Anolis sagrei: one gene and its partners. The protein of the gene in region 1 interacts with the protein of each later gene in a pairwise test. Links are inferred from orthologs where the notes say so. Each region holds a gene or a part of one and is shown in the gene's direction. Other genes may lie near its edges.

Region 1 (8,093 bases):
AGAGGAGATATGATAGCCAAGTATAAATATGTGAGAGGAAGTCACATGGAGGAGGGAGCAAGCTTGTTTTCTGCTTCCCTGGAGACTAGGACGTGGAACAATTGCTTCAAACTACAAGTAAGGAGATTCCATCTGAACATGAGGAAGAACTTCCTGACTGAGAGCCGTTCAGCAGTGGAACTCTGCCCCGGAGTGTGGTGGAGGCTCCTTCTTTGGAAGCTTTTTAACAGAGGCTGGATGGTCACCTGTCAGGGGTGCTTTGAATGCAATATTCCTGCTTCTTGACAGGGGGTTGGACTGGATGGCCCATGAGGTCTCTTCCAACTCTAGGATCCTATGATTCTATAGCATCATTTGGTGCTTATGTGAGGCCGCCCTGTGTCCCCTCTTGGGGGGAGAAGGGCGGGGTAAAAGTGCATGAAATAAATAAATAAATAAAATTTTAATAATAGTTTTTATTGTTATACCTTATAATAAAAACTAAATATAGAAACATAATATTGTTTACACACACAAAAGATAAAATGAAAAGAGTGTGTGTGTTGTGGAGCTCTCATTAGTACATTAAAGCTATATAAATATCTGCCTTATCTCTTGATTGTCAAGGCCAGCCAAAATGATGAAAATTCCTTTACATTTAATGCTTTGTGGCAAATAAGTGCTTAACGATTATATTTGGGCAATTAAAAGCTTTTCAAGATACTATTTGTTCCTGCTCCCCACCCATGTTTCATAGCAGTGCAAGACGAGTACAAGAATTGTAATGAACCAAACTCTCTTTTTGTGTACACATGCATGGTTTTAGACATGGATCTGCCTAACTGACAAAATATAGACTTCTAGCAGATAGCCACGGGTGCATCTACACTGTAGAATTAATGCAATTTCACATCACTTGATTGCTATCGTTCAATGGTATGGAATCGTGGGAGGTGTGTTTAGGTGTGAAGCCAGCATTCTTTGGCAGAGAAGGCTAAAGATCTTGTAAAACAACAGCTCCCATGATTCCACAACATTGAGCCATGGCGGTTAACGTGGTGTCAAACTACAGATGCACCTTTAGTTGCCTTTGCCATGGCCTGCAAACTGATAGATTTAATGTATTGGTAATCTACATCTCTGGATAGCACTGAATGCCACAGAGAATATGCAGCAAGTTTCATGTCTATATTGGACTTTTAGATTAAAGAAAGTTAATGTAGCATCATGCCAGTTTGCTTACTATACTGTTATAATTTCACTATAATGTGAAGATTTTTTAAGAATTGTATGTGTTAATGCTAGATTTTGTAAAAATCTTCCTTCTATTTTATCATAATTGTTTTGTTATTCATTAACACTCCCCACTCTTTCCAAGAATGTTAATAACCAGTTCATACTTTGTGGACTGTAGACTGATGATAGATTCTAAGTATGCCTGAAAAGTGATGTAACTGGAAAAATCCAAGGGAGTCTATATCTATAGTGTGACCACGGTGAGAAATTTCCTTGACACTTGTTAAATTTAAATGCTGATAAGAAACCATTTAAATTTTTTAAGCTGTCAAACGAGTGGAATTCCATGGGCACAAGATCTACCAAAAATGGAAGTGTGTCCTTGTAACTTGTCTTGTGCCTTCACGTCGTTTCTAATTTATAGCATCCCTAAAGTGACCCAATCATGGAATTTTGGGGGCTGAGAGATTGTGGATCACCAGGGTGAGTTTTCATGGCCAAGTGAAGATTCAGGCTGGATCTACACTGCCATATAATCCAGTTCAAAGCAGACAATCTGAATGTTATATAGCAGTGTGGGGCCCCATCTACTCTACCATATAAAATCCAGATTATCTGCTATAAACTGGATTATATGGCAGTGTAGCTCTAACATGGATGGGGCCTCAAACCCTGGTTTCCAGTTGTCCAACTCTTAAACCATACACTGCACTGGCTGTTAGTCTATCTTCTACTCACATAATATGTTGTTACAACCCAGAATACAATGCATAGCATTGGACTGCTCACAAACTATTGTGCACACTATAATATTTTTGTAAATTCAGTGATATTGTATCTATGTAAAGGCATGCTTTATTAGTTGTTTTTAATGCAGTATGTTACCATATTTTGATTTTAAAACTATTCTCTTTCCAATAATTTTTTTCCTGGAATATTAATAATCTAGAGGATTTTTTAATCACTTGAAAAAGAAGGCATTTTAAATAAGGGAACATTATTCCTTGTTTGGAAGAATCTTCTCTAATGAGATAAAATCACCTGTGAGATCTGAACAAAAGGGAAAATAGAAATAATTAAAGAACAAAGGGCACATTCTCAGTTTTCTTTAATTTTGCAAAACATTGAAACACTGTAGGAATATATTTTAGAGATTAACATCTGGCATGCTTTGTAAGTCACTGAATACATTCCTTGCCTATTCAGTGGCGCTTTATAAAGAACCACTACAAGCTACTTGGGGATTTCTTTCTTGTAATTAAACAAATTAGTTGAATTAATATTATATGTATGGTTTATTTATTTATCGTATCAGAAGAGAACCGAGGGTACAGTTGTAATATATTTTAAAAGCACAAAGTTTAAAAACTTTGTATTATATTAAATGTCCTTTGACCAGTAGCTGGCCATTTGGAGTGCCTTGGTGTTGCTATAAAAAGGTCCTTCATTTTGCATGTGGCAGAACCCAGACCACATTGTAGTAGGTGGTCTGTGGTTTGCTCGTCTTCACACTCACATGTCGTGGACTACACTTTGTGGCCCCAATTCTTAAGGTTGGCTCTGCATCTCGTGGTGCCAGGGCACAGTCTGTTCAGCGCCTTCCAAGTCGCCCAGTCTTCTGTGTGCCCAGGAGGAAGTCTCTCGTTCGGTATCAGCCATGGATTGAGGTTCTGAGTTTTAGCTTGCCACTTTTGGACTCTTGCTTGCTGAGGTGTTCCTGCAAGTATCTCTGTAGATCTTAGAAAACTGTTTCTTGATTTGAGGCATTGGCATGCTGACTTATATCCAAACAGAGGATAGGCCGGAGATGTCACTGCCTTGGTCCTTTCATTATTGGCTGCTACTTCCCGACGGATGTCAGGTGGTGCAATACTGTCTAAACAGTATAATTTCTCAAGTGGTGTAGGGTGTAGACATCCTGTGATAATGCAGCATGTCTCATTAAGAGCCACATCCACTGTTTTAGCGTGGTGAGTTATGTTCCACTCTGAGCAAGCGTACTCAGCAGCAGAGTAGCAAAGCCAAGGGCAGATGTCTTCCCTGTATCTGGTTGTGATCTCCAGGTCGTGCCACTTAGCTTTTGTTGCTTGATGTTCAAGCAGTGCTTCTTGTAGGTCAGAACATGGTTCAGGGTAACTCCCAGGTATTTGGGTGTGCTGCAGTGCTCCTGTGAGCTTCCTTCCCAGGTAATCCTCAGTATGTATGATTGAATTATGTTAAATCATGTTGCCAAAATTGTCAAACCGTGAACTCAGCAAGACCCAGACTCTATCAAAAACAGAAAACTGACTCAAATATCATATTTGCCTGATCTACTGTAAACAACATACTTCATTATTCGTTCAAATTTGTTTTCATATTATTAACTTTATGAACACAAGATATACACTTGTATCAAGATATGCAAACATTTCTTATTTTTGCAAATATGTAATATTAGAAATTGATCTAAGAATAATAAAAGTACTGGGGAATCTGTCTCAGCCTGCCCTAGAGATGAAGGATGATTGATGCCTTTTGCAACAAATCACCCCATACCTTCTGTCTCCTAAAATGCTGAAGGTGATAATGGAAATTGTATTGTTACAAGTGCTAATTTATACTGAGAAATAGACCAAGATCCATATAATGTTTTCTGAAATTAAATTCCAGGAATCAAAAATTCTGAAAGTAATAAGGAAGCCTAATATAGTTCAGCATTTGTTAAATGTTTTAAGTTTATCACTGCCTACAATTTAGAATTTATGCAAATACTGTAGGCAAAGTTTAAATTAACCATATGTGTCTAATCCAAACTAAACATTTTGAGAGGACCTGCATAGGCATCTACTATGCTACCTGCCTGCAGTCTGCACTATAGAATGAAAGCAGTTTGCCACCAGTTTAACTGCCATGGCTCAATGCAATAAAAGCATGGGAGCTGTAGTTTTACAAAATCTTTATCTTTCCCTGCCACAGACTATTGGCACATCACCAAACTACAGATCTCAAGATGCCATTGCTTTTGGCCATGGATGGCAGTTCATCACACTAGTGAGACTGTTAAAGGCTCCTCCCTAAACTACAAACCCCAGAATTCTGCAGGAGCTAGCAACCAGGTTTAAAGTGGATTCATTCTCTACTGTGATGAGGTCTAAAGTGGTGTCAAACTGCATTCATTCTGCAGTATAGATGTGCCCAAAGAATACTCTCCACAAACAATTACAATAATGCCTCCCTTCTTCAAATTCATGTTGAAGCACAGAGTTACTCATTTCCTTAGATCGGGCCCCTTCTATATTGTCATATAAAATCCAGATTATCTGCTTTGAACTGGATTATATTATATGAGTGTAGACTCATATAATACAATTCAAAGCAGATAATGTGTATTATCTGCTTTGATATGTATTGATATGGATTGTATGGCAGTGTAGAAAGGGCCGCAGTTTCCTCTTTACAAAGCTCTTCCTCTTTTGAGTTCTTTTGTAGGAAGTCCAAAACACAAAACACCAACCTTTCTGGAATAAAGCAAAATGTTCAAGTTCAGGAATACCTTGCAAAGCCTTGGAAGTGGGAACACAGTGTGTCAATGCTTTTCAAAATACAGTCTTGCTACATAGAGAACTCTTAATTTTTATTTTTTTTTACAAAATACAAGTCCTATTGGAAAGGACTACTGAACTTGGATGGTCAGCAGGCACACTTTTCTTTCTCCTTTCATTCTCCAGTGTGAAGAACTTTGTCTATTCTAAACCCCAGGCTTTAACTGCCACATTGTAACCATTTTCTGCAAACTGCAAGAGCAGATTTCTGCCCAGGGTTTTCCTCACTCCAGCAGTGGTGCATGATTATAGTCAGCTGCCTTCATGGAGTCTCCAGATGCAGCTCAGATCCGAGCCCCCAAATGCTCTCGCTGTCGCAACCATGGCTTTGTGGTGCCAGTGAAAGGTCACGCCGGCTACTGCCGCTGGAAGCACTGCCCTTGTGAGAAGTGTGCCCTGATCACTGAACGGCAGAAGATCATGGCGGCTCAGAAGGCCTTGAAGAGGCAAGGACCAGATTCACCGCCCAGGGAGGCACTGCCCTCTGTCCATTGCAGCCCCAATGATGAAATGGATGGGACCGCAGCTGGAAGTAAAAAGAGCTCCAGGAAAAACACCTCTGAGCCCCATGTTGCTGGGCATGAAGAGGCTAAGGTGACCTCTGCACCTGACCAACCCACCAGGATGGTGCCTGACCAAATGCCACCAAAACCTAGCTCTCCAACCTTCATAGATTTAGGTAGGTACACCATCTATAGTTTTTCTGCAACCATAAATACATCCATTGGCATTGTTTCTCTCCATTGCAAATGCTTACCTTTCCTACATGGACTTGAATACAGTTGTCCTGAAAGTTGGTAACTGGCATTTTCTGCTGTTGGGGATTGCTCTTTCCCTGAAAAAAGTTATTCCTATTCATTCATTTGTTGGTAGCTTCCATATCCTGCTTGAGCACTTTGTAGCTGCAGAACTTCGGTTCTGGAGGCTATTTGTCCATGTTTCATTGTTGCAAAGTCCTATTTTTTCAGCAAGCTTTGTATTACAAGTGAAATGGGTTGCAGCTGGCTCTGTGCAACAAGATTTAACAAGAGATCTATAACACTGGTGAGAAAACATATCTAGACTCGGAATAATGTTGTATTTTAGAGGAAGCACCATGCACAGCAGGAGCATTTTGCAGCTATTGCACATAAAATGGGAAGCCACTGCACATGAAATAGGAAGCCACTGCAGAACTTATTATAACAGTACTTATGAAGTATTAAGAAAGCAATGACAGCAGTCAGGCTTTAGCCTAGAACTTGAATTTAATCATTAGTGAGATAGATAGATAGAGAGAGAGAGAGAGAGAGAGAGCTAGCTAGCTAGCATTGAAAGTGGAGAATGTAGATGTGTTTGGGGGGAAAATATCAGAATTACATTGTGTCTGAGCAGTACAATAAAATATACAGCAGAGAAAGTGGACTCAGGCTGGATCTACACTGCCATATAATCCAAATTATCAAAGGAGATCATCCACATTATCTGCTTTGAAGTGCATTATATGAGTCCACACTGCCATATAATCCAGTTCAAAGCAGATAATGTGGATTTTATTTGGCAGTTTAGACAGAACCTGAGGGATTTTCTGCACTGCCATCATAATGCAGATTGAACTGCATTACATGGTCAGTATATTATCATATAATGCAGTTTGACTGCATCAAACTAGATTATATGACCATATAATGTAGTTCAATTTGCATTATAATGGCAGTGTGGATGGGGTGTGAGAGTCTACAGCGATCTGTATTTCTTCACAAGTGTTATAATTAATTTAATGATTTCAAATGCTGTTGGATGTAAGGATTTTAAAAAAAATATTAATAAAAACTTAAAACATATTAAATTTAGTTAGCTGAGGAGTAGTATTTTTTTTTCTTAAATCATAAGGATATAATTTTGAAATCTGGGCTTCTTCTATAATGTCATATAAATCCAGATTATCTTCTTTGAATTTGATTATATGGGAGTATAGACACATATAATCCAGTTTAAAGCAGATAATGTGGATTATCTGCTTTTCTAATCTGAATTATATGACAGTGTAGAAGGGAACAGAATCTCTTGGTCCTCCAGCAAGATTGTATGATTAAGTTCAACATGGAATTGCATTGGAGGCACCGCAATGCTTAGAGAAATACTCTTCCAAGGACTCTCTAGCCCTCCAAGATAATTTTATGTCAGTTTTGACTGGATTTAGAGATTCTCTGAGAAAATGTTAATCAAGTAGAGTTGCACTGGACACCTCAGAAATTCCTGCAGAAAACATATTGATCAAATCCACAAAAGTTAAGCCCTCACATGTGGAATGCCAACTGTATTCTAGGAACACAACACTTTGGAGGAACTAAACTATATAGTAATCTTCTATGCATCCTTGCAGAAAATAGTTGATGAGCACTGTGTATCCAACCTAGACATTCTATTTTGTTTTTATTCTAGACCATCCTACTGTGCCTCAGGAATGTGCAGCAATGTGTCCAGAGTTTCTGGAAAGAGAGCCTCCCAAAGTGTACCCTGGATACTCTGGGGTGTATCCTTATCATCCATTTCCTCTGGGATTTGCCATCAACCAACCTGGCTACAGAGGCCCAACGCATGGCCCTGTCCTACCCCTGCAAGCAGGTTACAGACACTTTCCTAGCAGTCACGGGCCAGGGAACTTCACTCCTGTACCAGTAAGTCATGTTTTTTAAACATTAGCACTTGTTTAAACAGCTTTCCCTTGGTTGCAGGGATACATGACCTTGCTATTTTAGTTATTATAGTGACAATAACATTAATAGTTTGAATAGCTTAAAAGGGTTAAAGTACATTAGTGACTTAGAGTACAAAAAGAAGGGGGAACCTGTGACACATCTTTAAGACAAATCTTTCTCTCTTTTTTTTGCACAAGTTTTGTGCAGATTGAACTGGATTATATTATAGTGTAGACTCATATAATCCAGTTCAGTGCAGTTCAGTCTGCATTATATGAGTCTACACCAGGCATTTATTTATTTATTTCGGGGTTCTTTTACCCCGCCCTTTTCACCCCGAAGGGGACTTAGGGCGGCTTACAAAAGCAAAGGCACAATTTGATGCCTACATCACAAAACAATCACACACAAAATTACATCAATTCACAGTTGACAACAATTCATGCATTATAACCATAAAATCAATAAAACTAATACAAACCCAATTCCTCCTCCTACATGGTCAGCGTTCGCTAACTCATAGTTCTAGTTTTCCGTTCCACTTCATCAATCCTGTTGGTCTTACTCGCCTGATTATCTTATTTAATTGCCAGAGTGCCCAAAGGCCTGGTCC
Region 2 (7,212 bases), on another chromosome or scaffold:
TGTAGCTCAGATCACGAACTTCTTATTGCTCAATTTAGAATAAAACTAAAGAGATCAGGGAAAATACACAGACCAGTTAGATATGATCTCACTAACATTCCTAGCGAATATACAGTGGAAGTGAAGAACAGATTTGAAGGGCTAGATTTAGTAAACAGAGTCCCAGAAGAACTATGGACAGAAGTCCGCGACATTGTTCAGGAGGCGGCAACAAAGTATGTCCCAAAGAAAAAGAAAACCAAGAAGGCAAAATGGTTGTCTGCTGAGACACTGGAAGTAGCCCAAGAAAGGAGGAAAGCAAAAGGAAACAGGGATAAGGGGAGATATGCCCAGTTAAATGCGCAATTCCAGAGGTTAGCCAGAAGAGACAAGGAACTATTTTTAAACAAGCAATGCATGGAAGTGGAAGAAGACAACAGAATAGGAAGGACAAGAGACCTCTTCCAGAAAATTAGAAACATTGGAGGTAAATTTCAGGCAAAAATTGGTATGATAAGAAACAAAGATGGCAGGGACCTAACAGAAGCTGAAGAGATCAAGAGAAGGTGGCGAGATTATACAGAAGATCTGTATAGGAAGGATAACAATATCGAGGATAGCTTTGACGGTGTGGAGAATGAATTAGAACCAGACATCCTGAGGAGTGAGGTTGAATGGGCCTTAAGAAGCATTGCTAACAACAAGGCAGCAGGAGACGACGGGATCCCAGCTGAACTGTTTAAAAACTTAAAAGATGATGCTGTCAAGGTGATGCATGCCATATGCCAGCAAATATGGAAAACACAAGAATGGCCATCAGACTGGAAAAAATCAACTTACATCCCCATACCAAAAAAGGGAAATGCGAAAGACTGCTCCAACTTCCGTACAGTGGCCCTTATTTCTCATGCCAGTAAGGTAATGCTCAAGATCCTGCAAGGAAGACTCCAGCAATACATGGAGCGAGAGTTGCCAGATGTTCAAGCTGGGTTTAGAAAAGGCAGAGGAACGAGAGACCAGATTGCCAATATCCGCTGGATAATGGAGAAAGGCAGGGAGTTTCAGAAAAACATCTACTTCTGCTTCATTGACTATTCTAAAGCCTTTGACTGTGTGGATCATAATAAATTGTGGCAAGTTCTTGGTGGGATGGGCATACCAAGCCACCTTGTCTCTCTCCTGAGGAATCTGTACAAGGACCAAGTCGCAACAGTAAGGACTGACCACGGAACAACAGACTGGTTCAAGATTGGGAAAGGCGTACGGCAAGGCTGCATACTCTCACCCAACCTTTTTAACTTGTATGCAGAACACATCATGCGATGTGCGGGGCTTGATGAATGCAAAGCTGGGGTGAAAATTGCTGGAAGAAACATTAACAACCTCAGATATGCAGATGACACCACTCTGATGGCCGAAAGCGAGGAGGAGCTGAGGAGCCTTCTAATCAAGGTGAAAGAAGAAAGCGCAAAAGCCGGGTTGCAGCTGAACGTCAAAAAAACCAAGATTATGGCAACAAGAATGATTGACAACTGGAAAATAGAGGGAGAAAATGTGGAGGCCGTGACAGACTTTGTATTTCTAGGCGCAAAGATTACTGCAGATGCAGACTGTGGCCAGGAAATCAGAAGACGCTTCCTTCTTGGGAGGAGAGCAATGTCCAGTCTCGATAAAATAGTAAAGAGTAGAGACATCAGACTGGCAACAAAGATCCGCCTAGTCCAAGCCATGGTATTCCCTGTAGTAACCTACGGATGTGAGAGCTGGACCATAGGGAAGGCTGAGCGAAGGAAGATCGATGCTTTTGAGCTGTGGTGCTGGAGGAAAGTGCTGAGAGTGCCTTGGACTGCGAGAAGATCCAACCAGTCCATCCTCCAGGAAATAAAGCCCGGCTGCTCACTGGAAGGAAGGATACTAGAGACAAAGTTGAAGTACTTTGGCCACATCATGAGGAGACAGCAAAGCCTAGAGAAGACAATTATGCTGGGGAAAGTGGAAGGCAAAAGGAAGAGGGGCCGACCTAGGGCAAGATGGATGGATGGCATCCTTGAAGTGACTGGACTGACCTTGAAGGAGCTGGGGGTGGTGACGGCCGACAGGGAGCTCTGGCGTGGGCTGGTCCACGAGGTCACGAAGAGTCGGAGACGACTGAACGAATGAACAACAACAACAACAAATGTACCAAGTTTGTATGAAACTTTGACTTTTATTTCTTGTGCTGGTCTAGGACCAAAATAAATAATTTGATTTGATTTGAGGTGGCCAATTCAACAGTCACACTTGCCTCCAACAGACAAGAGTTCTTTCTCCCACCCTGGACATTCCACAGATATATAAACCTCACTTACTTAGTTCCCAATAGAACTCACCACCTCTGAGGGTGTCTGCCATAGATGTGGGCAAAATATCAGGAGATAATTATTCTGGAACATGGCCATACAGCCCGGAAAACTCACAGCAACCCAGTGACTCCAGCCATGAAATCCTTTGACAACATATTATTATGGTTTTTTTTTTTAATTTTACTAGCTTTCCCCTGCCATGTGTTGCTGTGGCCCAGCCTGTGTCTATGTGCTTTTTTTGTGTATATATGTGTATATATTTGTGTATATGTGTATATACGTGTGTTTGCATATGCATTGTAATGTATTTTTATTTTTGGGCTTTTAAAGTTGCGTCCACTGTGTTTTTAGGAGTGATGGTCACTCATTGGCCTGAGAGGTGTCTTGTGTCCAAATTTGGTGTCAATTCGTCCAGTGGTTTTTGAGTTATGTTAATCCCACAAATGAACATTACATTTTTATTTATATAGAGTAGCCATCCCCTGCCACGCATTGCTGTGGCCCAGTCTGTGTATATGTGTTTTGTGTGTCTATGTATGTGTATATGTGGTTTTGCGCATGCGTTGTAATGGGTTTGGGGGGGGGGGTTAAGTCTCTTCCACTGTGTTTTCAGTATTTTTATGAATAACTAGCCATCCCTTGTCACACATTGCTGTGGCCCGGTTTGTGTATATATTTGTTTTGTGTATATATATATGCATATATGTGTGTATATATATATTTGTGTATATGTGTATATATGTGTGTTTGTGTATATATGTGGTTTTGCACATGCATTGTAATGGGTTTTTGGGGTTTCTATGTCTCTTCTGCTGTGTTTTTCTATGTTTTTATGAGTGATGGTCACTCGTTGGCCTGATAGGTGTATTGTGTCCAAATTTGTTGTCAATTTGTCCAGTGGTTTTTGAGTTATGTTAATCCCACAAACCAACGTTACATTTTTATTTATATAGAGTAGCCATCCCCTGCCATGCATTGCTGTGGCCCAGTCTGTGTATGTGTTTTGTGTGTCTATGTATGTGAATATATGTGGTTTTGTGCATGCATTTTAATGGGTTTTTTCTTTTGGCTTTTAAGTCTCTTCCACTGTGTTTTCAGTGTTTTTATGAATCACTATCCATCCCCTGTCACACACTGCTGTGGCCTGGTTTGTGTATATATTTGTTTTGTGTATATATATATGCATATATATGTGTGTGTGTATGTGTGTTTGTGTATATATGTGGTTTTGTGCATGCGTTGTAATGGTTTTTTTCTTTTGGCTTTTAAGTCTCTTCCACTGTGTTTTCAGTGTTTTTATGAATCACTATCCATCCCCTGTCACACACTGCTGTGGCCTGGTTTGTGTATATATTTGTTTTGTGTACATATATATATATATGCATATATGTGTGTGTGTATATGTGTGTTTGTGTATATATGTGGTTTTGCACATGCATTGTAATGAGGTTTTTTTTGGCTTTTTATGTCTCTTCTGCTGTGTTTTTCAGTGTTTTTATGAGTGATGGTCACTCGTTGGCCTGAGAGATGTATTGTGTCCAAATTTGTTGTCAATTCATCCAGTAGTTTTTGAGTTATGTCAATCCCACAAACGAACATTACATTTTTATTTATATAGATTTGTATCCTGCTTTTATCTTCTGTGATCCCCTGTGATTGTTCACTTTACAGATTTTCAGGCACAAAAGAACGTCTTCCTGATTGCTTTTAACACAACTTCCTATGAAAGGCATTTTCATCAAGGATTAAACAACCCCAGTGTGTTAAGGCTCCCCTCCCCTCTTTCTCTCTCCCGGCTTTCCCCGCTTTTGGAAAAAAGAGCCATAAATGAATCATTTCATTGCAACCTTGGGCAAATGGGTCTGAGGTGCTGGATTGGAAGTGAACCATGCAATTACATAAACATCGGAGCGGCCAGTCCGCCAGTGAGTGGAAAGACATGGATGTTAGAGGATTATCCAAACAGTAGAACACTTTTTCCATGTGTGTGTAAGAAAAAAGCCTGGCACACTTGGGCTGACTCCCCTCCCTGCCGCCAACACTTTGGAAGGCGAGTCAGGAGAAGCTCAAAGGGGAGATTCAGACTTTCAATTTGTGTTTGTGATGAAGGAGAAGCAATTCAGCAGTGGGGGCTTTGGTAAACTCACATCTCCTTTGCTCCTTGGCCTCTCCAGCAAGAGGAATGGCAGGCAGAGATGCTGCGCCGCCTGAACCATCCGGCCTAGAAAAACCAAACTAAGCAAAGAAAGAGAAGATTGTCTTGAGATGTTGCACTGAACTACGTGAAACTTTGGGCGGGCTGGACGTCTTTTTGCCTTTCAATACAAAACTTCAAAAACTTCCAAAAACCTGTGGAAATGTCGTAGTGGGATGTCGTAGCGGGATGCATAGCTGCCTGTAGCATCAAGCATTTGTTTTCCTTCATAACCAAGGCATAGCTATGAAACACAAAGCTATTTTGGCCTTCTCAAAGGTGGTAAGTACCTCTGCTGAATGTGACCTTGAAATGGCAAATGTCCAGTACAGTTTGTGCTGCTAACTGATATTGGTGCTCTGTCTGTTTGTTTTGAAAAATCCAGGTTTTTAAAGGTGAGAGCGAGAAGAAGGGAAAAATCTGCTACCACCATCTGTTATCATCTGTTTTGTGTGTACTTTGCTTTATTGTAATTATTTGGGCTTGGCCTCATGTTAGCTGCCCCGAGTCCCTTCGGGGAGATGGTGGCGGGGTATAAATAATATCTAATTGTTGTTATTGCCTTATGTTTTTGATTTGCTTTGAGTTGTATTTGTCATGCTGTTGTTGTGTTGAGGCCTTGGCCTTTGTAAGCCACATCGAGTCCTTCGGGAGATGCTAGCGGGGTACAAATAAAGTTTAATAATAATAATTAATAATAATAATAATACAATATTATTATTATATTACAATATAATAATAATTATTTATTTACATTATTTATTTATTTACTTTATTTGTATACCGCCCCTCTCAGCCTTCCGGCGACTTGAGGTAGTTTACAAGGCAAAATTCAATGCCACAAAAACATAGTACAATTTAAAAACATTAACAGCAATAAAATCAAAGAAAAAACAATAAGAACATGTCAGTAAATCATCAATATATTATTATTATTATTATTATTATTATTATTATTTTACTGACACAAAAACACAGTATGTCAAAGCAAATGAGATCTATATTCTGAATATTATTATTATTATTGACACAAAAGCACAGTATGTCACAGCATGCGAGATCTATATGCTGGATTTCGTATCACAAAATCACAAGTTGAACACTTCCCAAGGGTCTAGGAGTATTATTATTATTATTATTATTATTATTATTATTTGAAACACAACAAGATGAGTCCACAGCAGACAAGATCACTCTGCTGGCTGTTGTATTGGATCACACGTTGGACACTTCCCAAGTGTTTAGGACTCTGTGATGTATCGGCGAATAATGCGTGCAGGTCCAAGTAAGGTGGCCTTTTGCAGCTGGCAGATGGTAATTTTGTCATTGCCGATTGTGTTTAAGTGCAGATCAAGGTCTTTAGGCACTGCACCCAGTGTGCCGATCACCACTGCGACCACCTTGACTGGCTTGTGCCAGAGTCTTTGCAGTTCGATCTTTAAATCCTCATATGGTGTCAGCTTTTCCAGTTGTTTCTCTTCAATCCTGCTGTCGCCTGGCATAGCAAAATTAACAATCCATACTTAGTTTTTTAACACAATCGTGAGGTCAGAAGAATTCTGCTCCAAAACTCTGTCTGTCTGAATTCAGAAGTTCCAGAGTAGCTTGATGCATTATTATTATTATTATTATTATTATTATTATTATTATATCATGTAAGCCAGTGTTTCTCAACCTGAAGGTGGGGACCCCGGGGGGGGGGGGGGGTCGCGAGAGGGTGTCCGAGGGGTCGCCAAAGACCATCAGAAAACACAGTATTTTCTCTTGGTCATCTGGGTTACGTGTGGAAAGTTAGGACCAATTCTATTGTTGGTGGGGTTCAGAATGCTCTTTGATTGTAGGTGAACTATAAATCCCAGCAACTACAACTCCCAAATGCCAAGGTCTATTTCCCCCAAACTCCACTAGTGTTTACATTTAGGCATATTGAGTATTTGTGCTAAATTTGGTCCTGATCCATCATTGTTTGAGTCCACAGGCGTAGATGAACTACAACTCCCAAACTGAAGATCCATGCCCACCAAACCCTGCTAGTGTTTTCTGATGGCCATGGGAGTCCTGTGTGCCAAGATTGGTTCAGTTCCATCATTGGTGGAGATCAGAATGCTCTTTGATTGTAGGTGAACTGTAAATCCCAGCAAGTACAACTCTCAAATGATAAAACCAGTCCCTCCTCCCAACCCCATTAGTATTCAAATTTGAGCATATTGGGTATTTGTGCCAAGTTTGGTCCAGTGAATGAAAATACATCCTGCATATTTACATGACGATTCATAACAGCAGCAAAATTACAGTTGTGAAGTAGCAACAAAAATAATATTATGGTTGGGGGTCACCACAACATGAGGAACTGTATCAAGGGGTCGCGGCATTAGGAAGGTTGAGAACCACTGATGTAAGCGGAGGGAGATAACAACAAAACCAAAACAAAGAGGTTTGATTGAGGCCTTTAAGACAGGACCAGACAGATCAGGGGTCCTCAAACTAAGGCCCGGGGGCCAGATGTGGCCCTCCAAGGTCATTTACCCGGCCCTCGCTCAGGGTCAACCTAAGTCTGAAACGACCTGAAAGCACACAACAACAATCCTATCTCATCATCCAAAAGCAGACCTACACTTCCCACTGAAATACTAATAAGTTTATATTTGTTAAACTAGTTCTTCATTTTAATTATTGTATTGTTTTTAAGTGTTTTTT
Region 3 (7,972 bases), on another chromosome or scaffold:
AAATACAACTTAAGAACAAACCTACAGACCCTATCTTGGGGACTGTCTGTATTCCCTTCCTGAGGTTCTTGATTGGAACTAAGCCTCACCACAGCTAGTATAGCCTATTGTGAGGGATACTAGCAGTTCTAGTCTAATAAAATATAGGAGGTGCACATTTGATGTGTTTTTTTCATTAGAGATTTGAAGGGAAAGGTACACATTACTTGTTCCAAAAGCAGAGGTTTGTGAGTGCCTCCTACAAGACATTTGGAAGCCATCCCTTCTATGAAAGATACATGAATCCCTTCTTGAATCCAGATAGCCATATCCTCCTGGAAATTTAAGAGAAAAAGAGCAATGATGGAGCAAACACATAGTAAGCCACACTGCTCTAAGTACCTTATTCACAGTCATCCAGTTGTGAGCAACCACTGACATTCATCTAGAGAAAGAAAAACAAGATGGCTCCTTACCAACATTCAGCAATTCTGCTGCATAAAAGCTGGCATTCAAGGGGAGATATAAACAAGTGAGGTTATGAGCAAAATATGAAGGAAGTAAATTGCAATAGGATCTTAGGATATTCCTCTGAGTCTGGAAGAAGCAGACTCTGTAGGACAATGCTGAGCAAATATCCTTTGAGCAGCAGGACAGCATTTGCTTTTTGGAAATATACATCCTTGCAGATGATCTCTATAGAAATCATATTTAATGGATTGTCCGTGTTTTTAAATAAAAAGCATTTTATAAATAAACATGATCATCATCCTCATTCTAATTTTATTTATTTATTTATTTATTTCCCGTGTTTTGACTTTTGCTCATCATGGGAATGAAGCTTTAGAGCCCGAGAGTCTGTGATGGTCCCAGTGTTTCCTTGCTTTCATGGTGGAATTGTTACACCTAATATATACCAATTAAGAGGAACCCTTTCTCCAAAATGATTGGGCATTGAAAGCACATGTGCAGCTTTCATTCAGATTACCAATTATTTAAAAAATCAGCCTATATTGACGCTTTGCATTTTTTGCAGTGTTAAATTTGCATAATCACAATCCCCAAACTAGCAGTTTTGGGGCTCTAATTATATGGTTTATTGTGTTCTTTCCAGGATGGCATTCTGTAGCGCAGTAGCAGAGGTGCCGCCTACTTCTTTGTGTAGCACCAAATGGAGATATTTAAGCTTTGAAGGCTCTGAATACCGTCTAATCCAGCCTTCCTCAAACCTTCAGAGGTGCTGGGACTACAATTCCCATCCTTTCCAGCCAGCAGGAATGATTTATTTAATTTTTAAATATACACACACAAAACACATATACACAGACTGGGCCACAGCAACACGTGGCAGGGGACGCCTAGTATACAATAAATCAATAAGCATCTATAAACATAGCAAATAAAACTAATAGTCCAAAAATGATTTCTTAGTCATTTAGAATAATTGGTTTCCAGACTCAGGGCGGCTTACAAACGAAGGCACAAGTCGATGCCTAAATCAATAAACAAACAATACATAAAAGCATTTTAAACGATTAACAAGTTAAAAACATTAATACATAGTAAAATAGCAAAACAATCTCATGCTCAGTGTTCAGAGTCCGTTTATCCATTCTATTCCGTTCGCCCTTGTTTATCGTCCGATCTTTCCTTAGCTGCCAGAATATCCAAAAGCTTGGTCCCATATCCAGGTCTTCAATTTTTTTCTGAACGCCAAAAGGGAAGTCGCTGTTCTAATCTCCCCGGGGAGTGAGTTCCACAGGTGAGGGGCCACCACTGAGAAGGCCCTGCTCCTCGTCCCCGCCAACCTCACTTGTGATAGTGGCAGGGTCGAGAGCAGGGCCTCCCCAGACGATCTTAAATTTCGAGATGGGATGTAGAGGGAGATCCGTTCAGACAAATACACTGGGCCGGAACCGTATAGGGTTTTGTAGGTCAAAACCAGCACTTTGAATTGTATTCAGAATTGGATTGGCAGCCAGTGGAGCTGGCATAACAGAGTGGGACTAACATAAGATTTTGTCTAAGTCTTGGAAAGGCTGATGTAGCCCAGCCTAAAAATGTGAGAAAGTAAACTCCCAGCATTCCATTTCTGATGGATTATTTGGTGGAAAAATTATTTTTACAGGTATAACTTGCTATTAAATCACTATCACAAGACTAGAAATATACCGCAAAAACCTGTTTTAACTATGAGTTTTCCAAATAAATTAAGACCATGGAAAACAAAGAGAGAAGTTAGCTATGAATATCTGAAGCCTTGTGGATTACAGTGAGTGCTGACATACCCCGAAGGCACCGCATCTTCTCTGATCTTGGAAACTAAGCAAGGTCAGACCCGCTTAATACTTGGATGTGGGGTCACCAAGGAATACCTTTTGCCGCAGGCTATATTTTCAGACAAAGGCAACACCAAACCTCCTCTGACAGTTCTTGCCAAGGAAGCCCTATGATAAGGTCACCATAGGTTGGGGTCGACTTGAAGGCACAGAACAACAGAGTGCAATCGACTTGTAGTGAAACTTTACCAATGTATGTACCGATCTGATCAGAAATTCCATTCATCTCTATGAGGCTTATCACTGAGTAAGTGGATACACTGTCTCATTTAAATCAAGCATTGCTTTATCTTCCCATCGGGAAGGGCCTTTTCTCACTTGGGTTTCAAACACCATCATTGAACTGTACTGCTAAGGAGTTCACTTGGATACTGCTCACTGCGCCAAAGGGAACAACAAAACTGGGAATGGCTTTTAGTCCCCAAAACAAGAATGGACAACCTGTGGCTCTATTTTCCTCTGATGCTTCTAAACTGGTGGGACCACCTCCACATTTCCCTTCCTTTAGTCAAGGAGAGGAAGAAAATGTGATTTCTGCTGTTGATAGTGATGGATGAGCAAGATGCTAAGGTGAGGTTATGGCAGGTATGGGCAAACTTGGGCCCTCCAGGTGTTTTGGACTTCCCCACAATTCCTAATAGCCTACTGGCTGTTAGGAATTGTGGGAGTTGAAGTCCAAAACACCTGGAGGACCGAAGCTGGCCCATGTCTGGGTTATGCAATGCTCAGATAACTGCTGGATTGACTGAGTGGGCTGGTGCTCCCTGCTCAACCCACAAGCACCCACTGGCTGAGGAATGTGAATGTGCTGAGTTGTGTGTGTGTGTGTTGAGAATACGCATTTACCCATGCTCGGGCAATGAAATGTGCATGTAGGGAATGAGTGTCCATCCTCTGCCTGGAATACCATACAGACCCCAACTCTTTGTCTATAACTAAAAGAGACTGAGCATTTTTGGTGGCCACAGCTTGAGTCAAGCTTAATGAAGGTCCATTTCAGTTGTCCACGACTTGGCAGTAAACAGCATGTGTACTCAACTGTATCACCAGAGAGCTAACCATTGAGCAACCAGCCCTGAAGTCCCAAAGCCAACCTTAAACAGCATCCAACACAATATCATGAAAGGGGTGCTTTGAATGCAATTTTCTTTCTTCTTGGCAGGGGTTGGACCGGATGGCCCAAGAGGTCTCTTCCAACTCTATGATGTAGTTCCCAGTTGAGGAAGGGAGATATTAGGAAAACAGAAGGAAGAAGGGTATTGGGGTGAGAGTGGTGATCCAATTCCCCCCAGTCTTTCCTTGATATCCTAGTCCCCCAATCAATACATGTAGAATGGATTGAATTCCTGTTTGTGAGTAAACAAAGTATGTTGTCTTTTAAAGAAGATTTTTTTTTTGTCTCTGAGCACATATTTTAAACTAAGAGGTTTCAAAGAGGAGTATATGTTTTGGGCAACTGCAATTTCAAATTCAAATTCAAATAAACATTTTCAAACGCTGCTAGCTAAGTATTGGTTTTTTGTGGAGTGGCATGTCTGGCAGTTCAAAGACATGGTTCACCAGATTAACAGCCAAGTTACCTGTGTGCCATTACATGCTTGTGAACATCACTTATTCAAAGGGTTGAATTCTAAACAAGGTCATGCCTTTCCTTGACTAGTGGTTTCCAAATGGTGGTCGCCAGATGTTCATGGAGATTCACATTTGCCAAAAGGATATGACATCCTTTCCAAAAAGGTTATGAAACATTTTCAAAACTCTGCTGGCTAAGTATATGTTTTTTTGTGCAGTGGCATGTCTTTGTCCCTGGAAGTTCAAAGGCTTGGTTTATCAGTTTAACAGCCAAGTTACCTGTGTGCCATTACATGAATACTTGTGAACATCACTTATTCAAAGGGTTGAGTTCTAAACAAGGGCAAGCCTTTCCTTGACTAGTGGTTTTCGAAAGGTGGTCTCGAGGTGTTCATGGAGATTCACATTTGACAAAAGGATATGACATCATTTTTCCCTTCCAAAAAGGTTATGAATGCCATTTTCCCAAAAGTTTCAGGTTAAAAAAACCCCCGCTTTACTCATGAATTTGTTAACCAGTTAAAATTCATGAGTAAATAAGTTTTTTTAACCTGAAATATTTTTGGGGGGTGGTGGTGAAATCCTTATACCTCCCCCTTCTCCCGACTCCAGGCCTGCAGGAAAGGCTCCGCATCCTCCTAGCCATGGCCACCTCCTCCATCCTTTCCCCTGCTCGCGTGACATCACAATGAGTCCTCCTCAGCATCCCTTCCTTCCTTCCTTCCTTCCTTCCTTCCTTCCTTCCTTCCTTCCTTCCTTCCTTCCTTCCTTCCTTCCTTCCTTCCTTCCTTCCTTCCTTCCTTCCTTCCTTCCCTCCCTCCCTCCCTCCTTCCTTCCTTCCTTCCTTCCTGGCATCTCTCCTGATCTTTTCAAAGTCTGGGGGAAAGTCCTTCCAAGGGAGGGAGGGGGGAGGGGGCGTGGCGTTCTCTCCCTGGCCACGCCCCTTCCCTGCCCCGCGCGGGCAGATAGGCAGGCAGGCCCCGCCCCTCGCTCGCGCACTCGCTCGCTCCCCTCCCGTCTCCTCCTGCGCGCGCGGCCCCTCGGCGCCTCCCCGCCCGGCTTTGTTCCCATTGTGTGCCTGCCTGCCTGCCTGTTTTGCTTGCCTGCCTGCCTGCCTTTGCCAATCCATCCGCGGCCGGGAAGACGGAGAGCGGCCTTTTGCGGGGAGGCCTGTTCCTCCTGCAGCGGAGGGAAGGAGGCAGGGAGGGATGGAGGCCGCGCTGCTGCAGCCCCTGGCGGCCGAGGTGAAGCCCGGCGGGGCGGTGAGCGCCGAGCTGGAGGTGAAGAAGCTGCAGGAGCTGGTGCGCAAGCTGGAGAAGCAGAACGAGCAGCTCCGCAGCCGCGCCTCCGCCTCGCCCCCGGGCCCCGCCGCCGGATCCCCGCTCCAGCAGCTGCTCCTCTCCTCCCTCCAGGCCCAGCAGCAGCAGCAGCAGCAGCACCCGCTCCCCGCCAGCGCCAACGCCGCTTCGCCCCCGGCACTCAGCCCCAGCCCCAGCGGGGAGCCCTTCGTCTACTTCAAGCCCTCGCCCGGAGAAGGAGGAGGGGGAGGGGGAGGAAGGGCGTCCCCGGAGGGCCCCCTCCCCGCCGCCACCTTCCTGGACGAGGTGGAGGTGCTGGACCTGCGGGCGGAGCGCCAGGAGAGGGACGCCGAGACCTGGTGAGTGAGGAGGAAGGGACCCGGGTGGAGGCACCCCTCCCTCCCTCCCTCCCTGATTGGCAGGAGACCCCTTCGCTGCCCTTTGGAGCCCTCGAGGTCTGGGGGGGGGGGGGAGAGGCCAGCCCCGCACAGCCAAGCCCTGTGGTCTGGGAGGCGCCCTTCAGGGGTGGTGGTGGGGGCGGGGGGATAGTGCAGATTCTGAGGGGGTGGGCTGTGGAAGCAGAGGCTTCCCTCCCTCTCTTCCTTCTGTTCTCTTCCTCCCTTTCCTTTCTTCGCTTCCCTTCCTTCCCTTCCTTTCGTTCCCTTCCTTCCTCCCTTCCCTCCTTTCCTCTCTTCGCCTCCCTTCCTCCCTCTTCCTCACTTCCTTCCTCCCTTCCTTTCCCTTCCTGCTTTCCTTTTCTTCCTTCCCTCCCTTCCCTTTCCTTCCCCCCTTTCCTTCCTTCCCTCCCTCACTTCCTTCCCTTCCTCCGCTTCTCTTCCTCCCTCCCTCCATTTCCCTCCCTTCCTTCCTTTCCCTCCCTTCCGTATCCTTCCTTCCCTTTCCTTCCCTTCCCTCCCCCTTTCCTTCCTTTCCCTTCCTTCCGTATTCTTCCTTCCTCCCTGTCTTCCTTTCCTTTCTTCACTTCCCTTCCTCCCTCCCTTTCTTCGCTTCCCTCCCTCCCTTCCTTTCCTTCTCTCCCTTCTCTCCTTTCCCTCTCTTCCTTTTCCTTCCTTCCCCCCTCCCCCCCCCCTCTCTCTCTCTCTCGCAGTGCGCTCCCTTCCTTCCTTCCCTTCCTCCTCGTGGCGGGATTTCAGGACTGTGGCCAGCGACCCTTGGGCTGCTTGTTGCGCTCTGGAGGAGGAGGAGGAGGAGGAGGAGGAGGAGGAGGCGGCCTTGGCGGTGGCGGGGGTGATGGATGGCGCCGCAGCGAGGCCGTGCCTTCTTCCGCTGCGTGGGAAGCCAAGGGCCTTCCTGGGGGCGCCTTTCTTTTCCAGAGCCAAGGAGCACAAAGGGGACCCAGGCCTCAGACACTCAACAAAAGGGGGCCCCGCTTGGATTGCATGCCTCTCTCGCTCTCCCTGCCTTCCTCGCTACCCTCCTCCTCCTCCTCTCTCCTCCGCTTTCCGAAGTGTTCCCGCGTTTTCTCCCCCTTCAGCCTTCAGCCTGTCGTTCCTCTCAATGCGGGCGGAGTCTTGATTTGCCTCAGGAAAAGCGATTGAATCCGGGCCCTTTTTAAGGCTAATAGCTCCCCTCGGAGGGATGCATTGGGCAGGAGAGAAGGGAAAGGGGAGATTCTGGGCCAAGCGTGGGCAAACCTCGGCCCTCCAGGTGTTTTGGACTTCAACTCCCACCCTTCCTAACAGCCACAGACCCTTTCCTTTTCTTCTCCTTTTCTACTTAAGCGGCTGAGGGGGGAAAGGAAGGGGCCTCAGGCTGTTGTGGAAGTCCAAAGCACCCGGAGGAAGGGCAAATTTGCCCAGGCCTGGTCGCAATACCCAGCTGCCTATCTGCACCATGGCATATTGACTGACAATTGCCATCTCTCCAACCCTCTTGTCCCTTTAAAAAAGCAGCTGTCGTGATTGAAGTACAGCCCAGAGGAAGTGGTTTGGTTCTCCATTATGCTTTGTTTTTGCCTCCCCCGCTCTTGCCAGTCATTCCTCCTGTCTTCTGCCAATGAGACCTATTCTTAAAATTGACACAACACACCTTGTTTCTGACTGTGATATAGTTATAAATTGGGAGCTGCCTGTAAAAAAAAAATCAACGCATCCTAATAAAGAAGAGTGCTGATTTCATTTGGTTGTTTTTTTGAGATGAGGAAGCCATGTTTGATATTTATCTAAGGCTTCTTCTTCTTCTTTTTTTTAAGTGTTCCTAGTATGCCTCTTTTAAAAAAATAATACTAATTCATATTGTTTTTGTGTTGACAAAGGCTTTCATGGCTGGAATCACAAGTTGCTGTGAGTTTTCCAGGCTGTATAGCTATGTTCCAGAAGCATTCTCTCCTGATGTTTTGCTCACATCTATGGCAGGCATCCTCAGAGGTTGTGGGGCATGTTGGAAACTAGGGAAGTGGGGCTGATATAACTGTGGAATAGTGTCCAGGGTGGGAGAAAGAACTCTTGTCTCTTTGAAGCTGCAAGGCCATTCAATGCTAATCAAGGTGGCCAATTGCAGCATCCACACTTGCCTCAAGCAGACAAGAGTTTTCTCTCCCACTCTGGACATTCCACAGATATATAAACCCCACTTGCCTAGTTTCCAACAGACCTCACAACATCTGAGGATGCCTGCCGTATATATGGGCAAAATGTCAGGAGAGAATGCTCCCTGAACATGGCCATACTGCCCGGAAAACTCACAACCTGGATTATTGTTGTTTGCACATGGACAAGCACAGTCTTCTATTGTAAATGGAAGTCAACCACAGAGAAGGAAATA
Region 4 (7,433 bases), on another chromosome or scaffold:
GTTTCTGCAGCGACCAAGCATCCCCCTCTGACAAAACAAAACAAAAAAAAAAGGCAAAGAAAGGCGGAACAGATTTTCTGTTTTTCCTAGCTCAGATATAGTGCAAACAAGAGCATATTTGAAAGTGAACCCCCGGCACTGATGCTGTCGCTGGGCTTTTAAGCGCCGGAAAGAAAGACAAAGGAAGAATTCAAGGGGGAGGGAGAGAGAGAGAGAGAAGGATGCAGGCAGAGATGAAGAAAGGAGGGATGGGGGCTAAAACGAGCAAAAGCAGCACAACAGTCCTAGGATCCTGACAGTTTGAGGATCAGCTCATTGTGATAATGTGTGTGTATAAAGGGAAAGGTTTCCCCTTGACATTAAGTCTAGTCGAGTTCGACTATGGGGATGGTGCTCATCTCCATTTCTAAGCCAAAGAGCTGGCGTTATCCATAGACATCTCCAAGGTCATGTGGCCGGCATGACTACATGGAGCGCCATTACCTATCCGCCAAAGCAGTACTTACTGATCTACTCAAATTTGCATGTTTTCGAACTGCTAGGTTGGTAGAAGCTGGAGCTAACAGCAGGAGCTCATCCCACTCCCAGGATTCTAGCCACCAACCTTTCGGACAGCAAATTTAGCAGTTTAACCCACTGCGCCACTGGAGGTTCCATATTATATATATATATCACCAGATAGAAGATGATGTGGCAAGAGAGGGGCGACCTGCTGGGATCCCGGGGCTGGATCTACACCACCATATAATGCAGTTTCATTGAACTAGATTATACTGGAGTATAGATTCATACAATACCATTGAATGGATTTAATCTGCTTTCTGAATCTACATTATATGGCAGTGTAGATCCAGCCCTGAGGCTGCACTGCAGGATTAACACACTTTGACCCCACTTTATTTGCCATGGCTCAATATGGGGGCAGAAGAATTGTAGTTTTCTGAGGCACAAGCACTCTAGCAGAGAAGGCTAAAACTGCAACTCCCATGACTCTTTCAAAGTTCAAGGGGCATTGAATCGCATTAATTCTACAGCAAAGATACATGCTAAGCACCCTAAAACAGGCATGGCCAAACTTGGGCCCTCCTTCCAGGAGTTTTGAACCCCCGCCATTCCTAATAGTTGCAAGCCCTTCCCTTTTCCTCCTCAGCCGCTTAAGCAGCTCAGGAGGGAAAGGAAAGGGCCTGAGGCTGTTATGAATGGTGGAAGTTCAAGACCCAAACACCTGGAGGGCCCAAGTTTGCCTATGCCTGCCGTAAAGGCACCAGATAGAAGAGGATGTGGCCTTGGGAGTTAAGCAAAATCAACCCTGGCTCATACTTGGATGGAAGGCCACCAGCAAATACTATGTTTGAGAGAGCAAGAGACTGGGAAAGCAACCCCGGGTCCTTCATGCTTGACACCCCTCTGAAGTATGTGGTCTCCCTAAGTGGTCCTCAGATGTTTTGGCCTTCAACTCCCAGAAATCCTAACAGCTGGTAAACTGGCTGGGATTTCTTGACGTTGTAAGCCAAAACATCTGAGGACCTACAGGTTGAGAACCACTGCCCTAAGTGGATGAGACTTGAAGGCGCGCACACAGGGTGCATCTACACTGCAGAGTGAGTACAATCTGACACCATGTATTGTGGAAGGCTTTCATGGCCAGAATCACTGTGAGTTGTTGTGAGTTTTCTGGGCTGTATGGCCATGTTCCAGAAGCATTATTTCCTGATGTTTTTCCCACATTTATGGCAGGTATCCTCAGAGGTTATGACGGATGTTGGGAACTTCGCAAGTGGGGTTTATATATCTGTGGAATGTCCAGGGTGGTCCATGCTCTTGTTACATCCCAGATAGATTACTGCAATGCACTCTATGTGGGGTTGCCTTTGAAGACTGTTCGGAAACTTCAATTAGTCCAGCAGGAGGCAGCCAGATTGCTCACTGGAGCATCATACAGGGAGCATACCACCCCCCTGTTGTGTCAGCTCCACTGGCTGCCGATCCAGTTCCGAGCACAATTCAAAGTGCTGGTTTTGACCTACAAAACCCTATACAGTTCCGGCCCAGCGTATCTGTCCGAACGCATCTCCCTCTATGTCCCACCTCGGAGTTTGAGATCCTCTGGGGAGGCCCTGTTCTCAGCTCCGCCTGTCACAAGTGAGATTGGCGGGGACGAGGAGCAGGGTCTTCTCAGTGGTGGCCCCTCACTTATGGAATTCACTCCCCGAGGAAATTAGATCAGCGACATCCCTCCTTTCCTTTAGAAAGAAATTAAAAACATGGATGTGGGACCAGGCGTTTGGGCACTCTGGCAGATAAATAAAGGACTGCGACGGCGGATAGGAACAGACAATGTGGAACGAAGTATGGAATCTGAGTTGGTTGAGATTGGCTATTGACTGTGACATATATTGTTGTTTTAATTGTTTAACCGTTTAACTGCTGTTTTTATACGTTTATTGTATTATTGTGTAGGCATCAAATTGTGCCTGTTTGTAAGCCGCCCTGAGTCCCCCGAAATAAATAAATAAATATTTAAGGACAACCTGTGAGGATACCTGCCATAGATGCAGGCGAAAGGTCAGGAGAGAATGCTTCTGGAACATGGCCACATAGCCAGAAAAATACACAATAACCCAACTTGATACCACTTTAAACTGCCGGGGTTCACTGCTATGGAATCGTGGGAGTTGTAGTTCGGTGAGGCGCCGACACTGTTTGGCGGGGCCAAGGCCTTGCCAAAACTACAACCCTCCACGATCCCATGGCGGTAAAGTGGTGTCAAAGTGCACTCATTCCACAGTGCAGAATCAGGCTTCGTGTGAACGAAGGCATAAATCTGGCTCCTGGTTTCTACATCTGCCTGCCCTGATGCGCTTGTGTCGTAGGAGGGAACCACAAGGAGTTGAGGAATCCCCTTTACTCCCGAGGAAGTTCCGTTCGATGTATTCGGCGGGGTTGACTCCAGAATGGCAGCCGAAGCCTCCTCCTCGCCTTGCCAGCCGCGGCTTTCCTCGCCCTCCCTTCCTCCTCAGAGCGTTAAGCAAACGGAAGGGAAGAGAGAGCGGGCCTGGGTCGAGTGGTGAGGCGAGGAAGGGAGCCCAAGAAGGGGAAACGCGTGGCGGGCGGCGGTACTTGTCGGGGCTTCCCCTCAGAAGCGGAAGGGAAGACCGAAGGCGAGGCGAGAGCACCTTCCTTCCTTCCAGGAACAGAACCGACTGACTCCTCCGCCAGGCAAACCCCCCTCCCCCCCTCTTGAACGTGCCTTTCTCCCTACCTACTGCGCAGGCGCTCGTGCGCGAGCTTCGGCCCCGCCCCTCCCATTCCTTTCCTCCGACACCTCCAAGAGGAGGAAGGGCGCGAGACCGTTGGAGGCGCGCGGGCGGGCAGGCAAGCAGGCAGGCGCGCGCCCCCCGTCTAAAAAAAAAAAGCCAAGCCAACAGACTTTATTGAGCGCATGCGCTTTAATAGTAAAAAAACCAAAAACGATCTACGATTAGGACTCTTTCCTTTTTCCTCCCTCCTCCCTTTTTTTTCAGGAGCTTGGCAACACGTGACGCGGTCCCGCCTTAAACGCAAGATTGGTTGAAGTTTTTTTGTGTGTATGTGTGTTAACGGAGGAGTTTCTAAATAAATAAATAAAAATGGGGAAGGGAGGGAGGCACGCGCGAGGACGTTGCGGGGGGGGGGAGATAGAGGAACGTGGTGGTGGGGGGGAAATGTTCATTCCTTCGCGCGCCCTCGCGCAGGCGCGTATCAACAGGCGCCGTCTCGCGCGTCGTAGCGAGTAGTACTATATCCGAGGTATAGCGGCACGAGCCCTTTTTTTTTCTTTTTTCAAACCAACGTTCTTTTCGGATATGTGTGCGCGCGCCCGCCCATCCGGCTCCTTAACACCCACCACAAGCGTAGATAGATATATATGTGAAAAAAGGAAATTTCTGTGTGCTGTCCTGGTGCGCGTGCGCGGAGAAGAACCACCGCCGCCGTCGCCACCACCACCTTCTTGTCGTGGTTCTCCTCACAAGTGAAGCGCTTTCCCGTTCTCGGCGGCGCCAGAGAGAGCCCCCAAGTCTTTTTCCTTCCCCCCCCCCCGTAGGGGCGGGGCGGAGTCGAGGGCTCCGAGTCCGCCAAGGGCCGCCGCCAAGGGCTGATTAACGGCCGCCCCGCCCCTGCTCCTCGGCGGCGCTCCCCCCCCTCCTCCTCCTCCTTTTCCTCCTCCCCTCGCCGCCAGCAGCGCAGCCTGAACTGAAGCGAACTCCACAGCGAACTGAAGGAGGAGGAGGAGGAACAAGACGAAGAAGGAGGCGGCGGCGGCAGTGGCAGTGGTCGGAAAGGCTGAGGCTCGCCAGCGACCAGCAAACGGCACCAGCGGAGGGGAGGAGGAGGGAGGGAGGGGAAGAGGGGAAGAGGGGAGGAGGGAGGGGAGGGAGGGAAGGCAGGCAGGCAGGCAGGCGGCGGCACAAGCAGAACCACACCAGCAGCAACAGCGGCGGAAGAAGGAGCAGCAGCGGCAGCAGCAGCGCCGGTGGCCGGGAGCAGCCTTACAAACAGCCTTACAAACAGCGGCGGGGACTCTTCGCGAAGACAAGCCCGCCTCCGCCGCCGAGGAGGAGGAAGAGGAGGAGCGGGCGCCTCGGCTGCTGCGAGTGAGGCGGGCAAGCGGCACGACACCGAGGAGGAAAGGCTTCCAAGGCGGGAGCGGCGGCCGGGGATCCTTATCCAAGCGGAGGAGGAGGCGGAGGCGGCGGCAGCAGGCTTGGGTGGCGGTCGCCCAGCCCCCTCCGCGGTGTCGCCGTTTGTGTCGGAGTCGCCTCCTTGTTCTGGTTCTTCCTCGCCGGGAGCAGCAGCAGGAGCAGCCGCCGCCGCCGCCGTGCTTTCCCTGGCCGCGGGTCCCTCCTCCTCCTCCTCCTCCCCTTCCCTCCTTCCCCCCTCCTCCTCCTCCCGCCTCCTTTTTCTTCCAGGGGGGAAGAGGCCTCTCCCGCCTGGCGAGTGCGAGTGTGGCTTGCGGGCGCCCGGCTCGCTCTCCGGCCGCGCTGGGAATATGGTGGGGGAAATGGAAACCAAGGAGAAGCCCAAGCCCAGCCCCGATTACCTGATGCAGCTCATGAACGACAAGAAGCTCATGAGCAGCCTCCCCAACTTCTGCGGGATATTCAACCACCTCGAGAGGCTGCTGGACGAAGGTAAAAACAAACAACAACCGCCACAATAATAATCATAATAATCATAATACACGAATTTAAACCACGCTCTTTTCTTTATTTTGGATCAAAACAAAACTTAGGCCTTGAGGATACACGGTGAAAAAAAATGTGTCTCCTCTTTTTGGCCCCTTCAATGGCGTCCTCTTTGCTCTCTTTCTTTTTTGGCCTTGCCTCCTTCCCCGTAAACAAAGAGACGAAGCGGGAAGTCTCTCTCTCTCTCGGCGAGAAGTTTTGGCCTTTGAGGGAGGGAGTGAAGGCGAGGCTTTCTTCGGCCCTTCGGCGCGGTTCTCTTGTTTTAAAGACTTAAGGTAGCCCTTTTTATAAAAAGGCCGAGGGGAGAGATAGTTTGGGGAGAGTTTTGAGACTCCACATAGGACGCAACTAAGTAGTAGTAGTAGTAGTAGGCCGAGTGGCGTGATTTACAGCAGTGTTGGTTAAGCGAGTGAGTTTTGCAACGTCCAGAAAGGGATCTCGGGGTGTCCTTTGTTTGTTTGGTTTCAGATTGGCTTGGAAGGGAGAAAAAGGGGGTGGCAGGAAGTGGAAAGGGCTCGGCTCTCGTCCCTACCGGGCAGTTTGGACTAAAAAGTGGTTGAAGTTTTTGAGAGTAAACAGACCCAACTTCTCCATTCGGTTTTTACACTGAAGCCTCTTCACTCGAAAGTTCTCGATTTCTGGTGCCAAAAAGCTAACGCAGAAAGGTTGCTGAATCCTCACTGCTCATCCCAAGCCAACTATCCGATTCCCCACCGCCTGCCTCCCACCCTGTGGAGTTAGTTGCAAGAGGCCACTTTTGTGGAGTACTACTAACAAGCTTCAGGAGTTTTTTATGTTTAAATAGGTTGGACATGGAAGCTCCAGACTTCATGGTGATTATGTTCTCTTGGACCAGGTTGAGTTTTAAGTCTTCAATCCAAATCGTTTTTTGGGAATTCAGACCTCAGTTTGAGGGCGTTGTGGCTGAACTTATCATGTAGACGTGGGAGGTTGTGCACATTGAGTTTTGGTCTTACCATGTAGATGTGGGTGGTTGTGTACATTCAGTTTTGATCCTAGTCTGAGTATTTAGATTTTTTTTTTTGGAAGAGAGTAATTCTATACAGAATTCTTCATAGACTTGACTGATCCCATGACATATTTCCGCTGAAAACATATTTACCAAATAGTTGTGAGGTGCCCCTTGACTGATTTTTTTTCCAGACCACATTCTGTTTGGATAACACTGACTAGTTGGGATCTCTTTGAAAGAACTCTTTTGAATACTTTCTGAATTACAAAATAAGCAATACAACATAATTTTTATCGATTAAACACAGGCATGAACAATGAATTTTTGAAGTTCCTGAACAATTGGTTTGATTTGGGAAAGAAGACTGACCAACTTTGTCAAGATCAAAAGAGTGGTGTGTTTATTGTACCAAAGGGCTATTTTAAATGGAATGTGTGAGGTCATTGTTCCTTTAAAATGCCCCTGAAGCTCTGAAAGTCTTTGAATGAACAGGCCTTGTATTATTTTCAAAAGTCCAAAACAAAGATTGGAAGTTAATCTAGCAAAACAGTTATATCTGGTTTTGTTCCATCCTTATTTTTTTTCTTCCACTCTTCTTTTCTTGGTAGCCTGAAGGGAAAGTTCAACTGCCCCTTTAAATCTTTTTTGCTTTTCCTGTTTATTTTGGCTCCTGGGTGGAAGAACTGCATATGCTGAAAACTTTCTGGAATGTTGAAAAAATGTTCCATGCAAATTCAGTGGATGAGGTAAATGTTTTAATATTTGAACACTAAGGGGCGCCAGTTCTTTCTTTTTGGAAAACAGTTGTAACAGTGTAGGGATTGCATTGTGAGCCTTTAAGCCAAAACCAAGAAATATGCCAAAACTTTTAAAGAGCTAGGACTTAATGAGTTTAAGGGCTAAAGTTATATATTCACAAATATTTGTGATTATAGGAATTGGTGTAATTCTCCATTCCCAAATCATGGGCAGGATTAGTCATTTTCTATTACAAAGAACTGACAATCTATGAAGTGACATATTGTTTTTGTTTTTTTGTTTTTTACTAGTAGTAGTTTGGGCAGAAGAAAGATCATTTTTTGGCCAATTGGCGTTGGAGGTCTTACTTAAAAGTTGTTTTTAATTTTTTAAAAACATCCTGGAAATTTTATGTTTTTGTTTAGTATGTTGTTGTTCATTCGTTCAGTTGTCTCCGACTCTTCGTGACCTCATGGACCAGCCCACGCCAGAGCTCC

Evidence for each region.
Region 2: the proteins of DMRTB1 (region 1) and IL16 interact in a two-hybrid assay, tested with the Homo sapiens proteins (2 studies listed by BioGRID). The two-hybrid records come from large-scale screens. The link is inferred for Anolis sagrei from reciprocal best matches to the Homo sapiens genes DMRTB1 and IL16.
Region 3: the proteins of DMRTB1 (region 1) and SLAIN1 interact in a two-hybrid assay, tested with the Homo sapiens proteins (2 studies listed by BioGRID). The link is inferred for Anolis sagrei from reciprocal best matches to the Homo sapiens genes DMRTB1 and SLAIN1.
Region 4: the proteins of DMRTB1 (region 1) and QKI interact in a two-hybrid assay, tested with the Homo sapiens proteins (2 studies listed by BioGRID). The link is inferred for Anolis sagrei from reciprocal best matches to the Homo sapiens genes DMRTB1 and QKI.

What each region holds. Positions count from the first base shown.
Region 1 is NC_090024.1:172,926,077-172,934,169, reverse strand, and holds the start of DMRTB1 (doublesex- and mab-3-related transcription factor B1), read left to right. Parts: upstream 1-5,063; coding exon 5,064-5,478; intron 5,479-7,223; coding exon 7,224-7,459; intron 7,460-8,093.
Region 2 is NC_090029.1:33,443,082-33,450,293, reverse strand, and holds the start of IL16 (pro-interleukin-16), read left to right. Parts: upstream 1-4,162; 5' UTR 4,163-4,753; exon of another isoform or gene 4,754-4,797; intron 4,798-7,212. UniProt on the Homo sapiens protein: Interleukin-16 stimulates a migratory response in CD4+ lymphocytes, monocytes, and eosinophils. Primes CD4+ T-cells for IL-2 and IL-15 responsiveness. Also induces T-lymphocyte expression of interleukin 2 receptor. Ligand for CD4.
Region 3 is NC_090023.1:127,617,398-127,625,369, reverse strand, and holds the start of SLAIN1 (SLAIN motif-containing protein 1), read left to right. Parts: upstream 1-4,875; 5' UTR 4,876-5,098; coding exon 5,099-5,547; intron 5,548-7,972. UniProt on the Homo sapiens protein: Microtubule plus-end tracking protein that might be involved in the regulation of cytoplasmic microtubule dynamics, microtubule organization and microtubule elongation.
Region 4 is NC_090021.1:66,442,376-66,449,808, reverse strand, and holds the start of QKI (KH domain-containing RNA-binding protein QKI), read left to right. Parts: upstream 1-4,345; 5' UTR 4,346-5,029; coding exon 5,030-5,171; intron 5,172-7,393; exon of another isoform or gene 7,394-7,408; coding exon of another isoform or gene 7,409-7,433. UniProt on the Homo sapiens protein: RNA reader protein, which recognizes and binds specific RNAs, thereby regulating RNA metabolic processes, such as pre-mRNA splicing, circular RNA (circRNA) formation, mRNA export, mRNA stability and/or translation.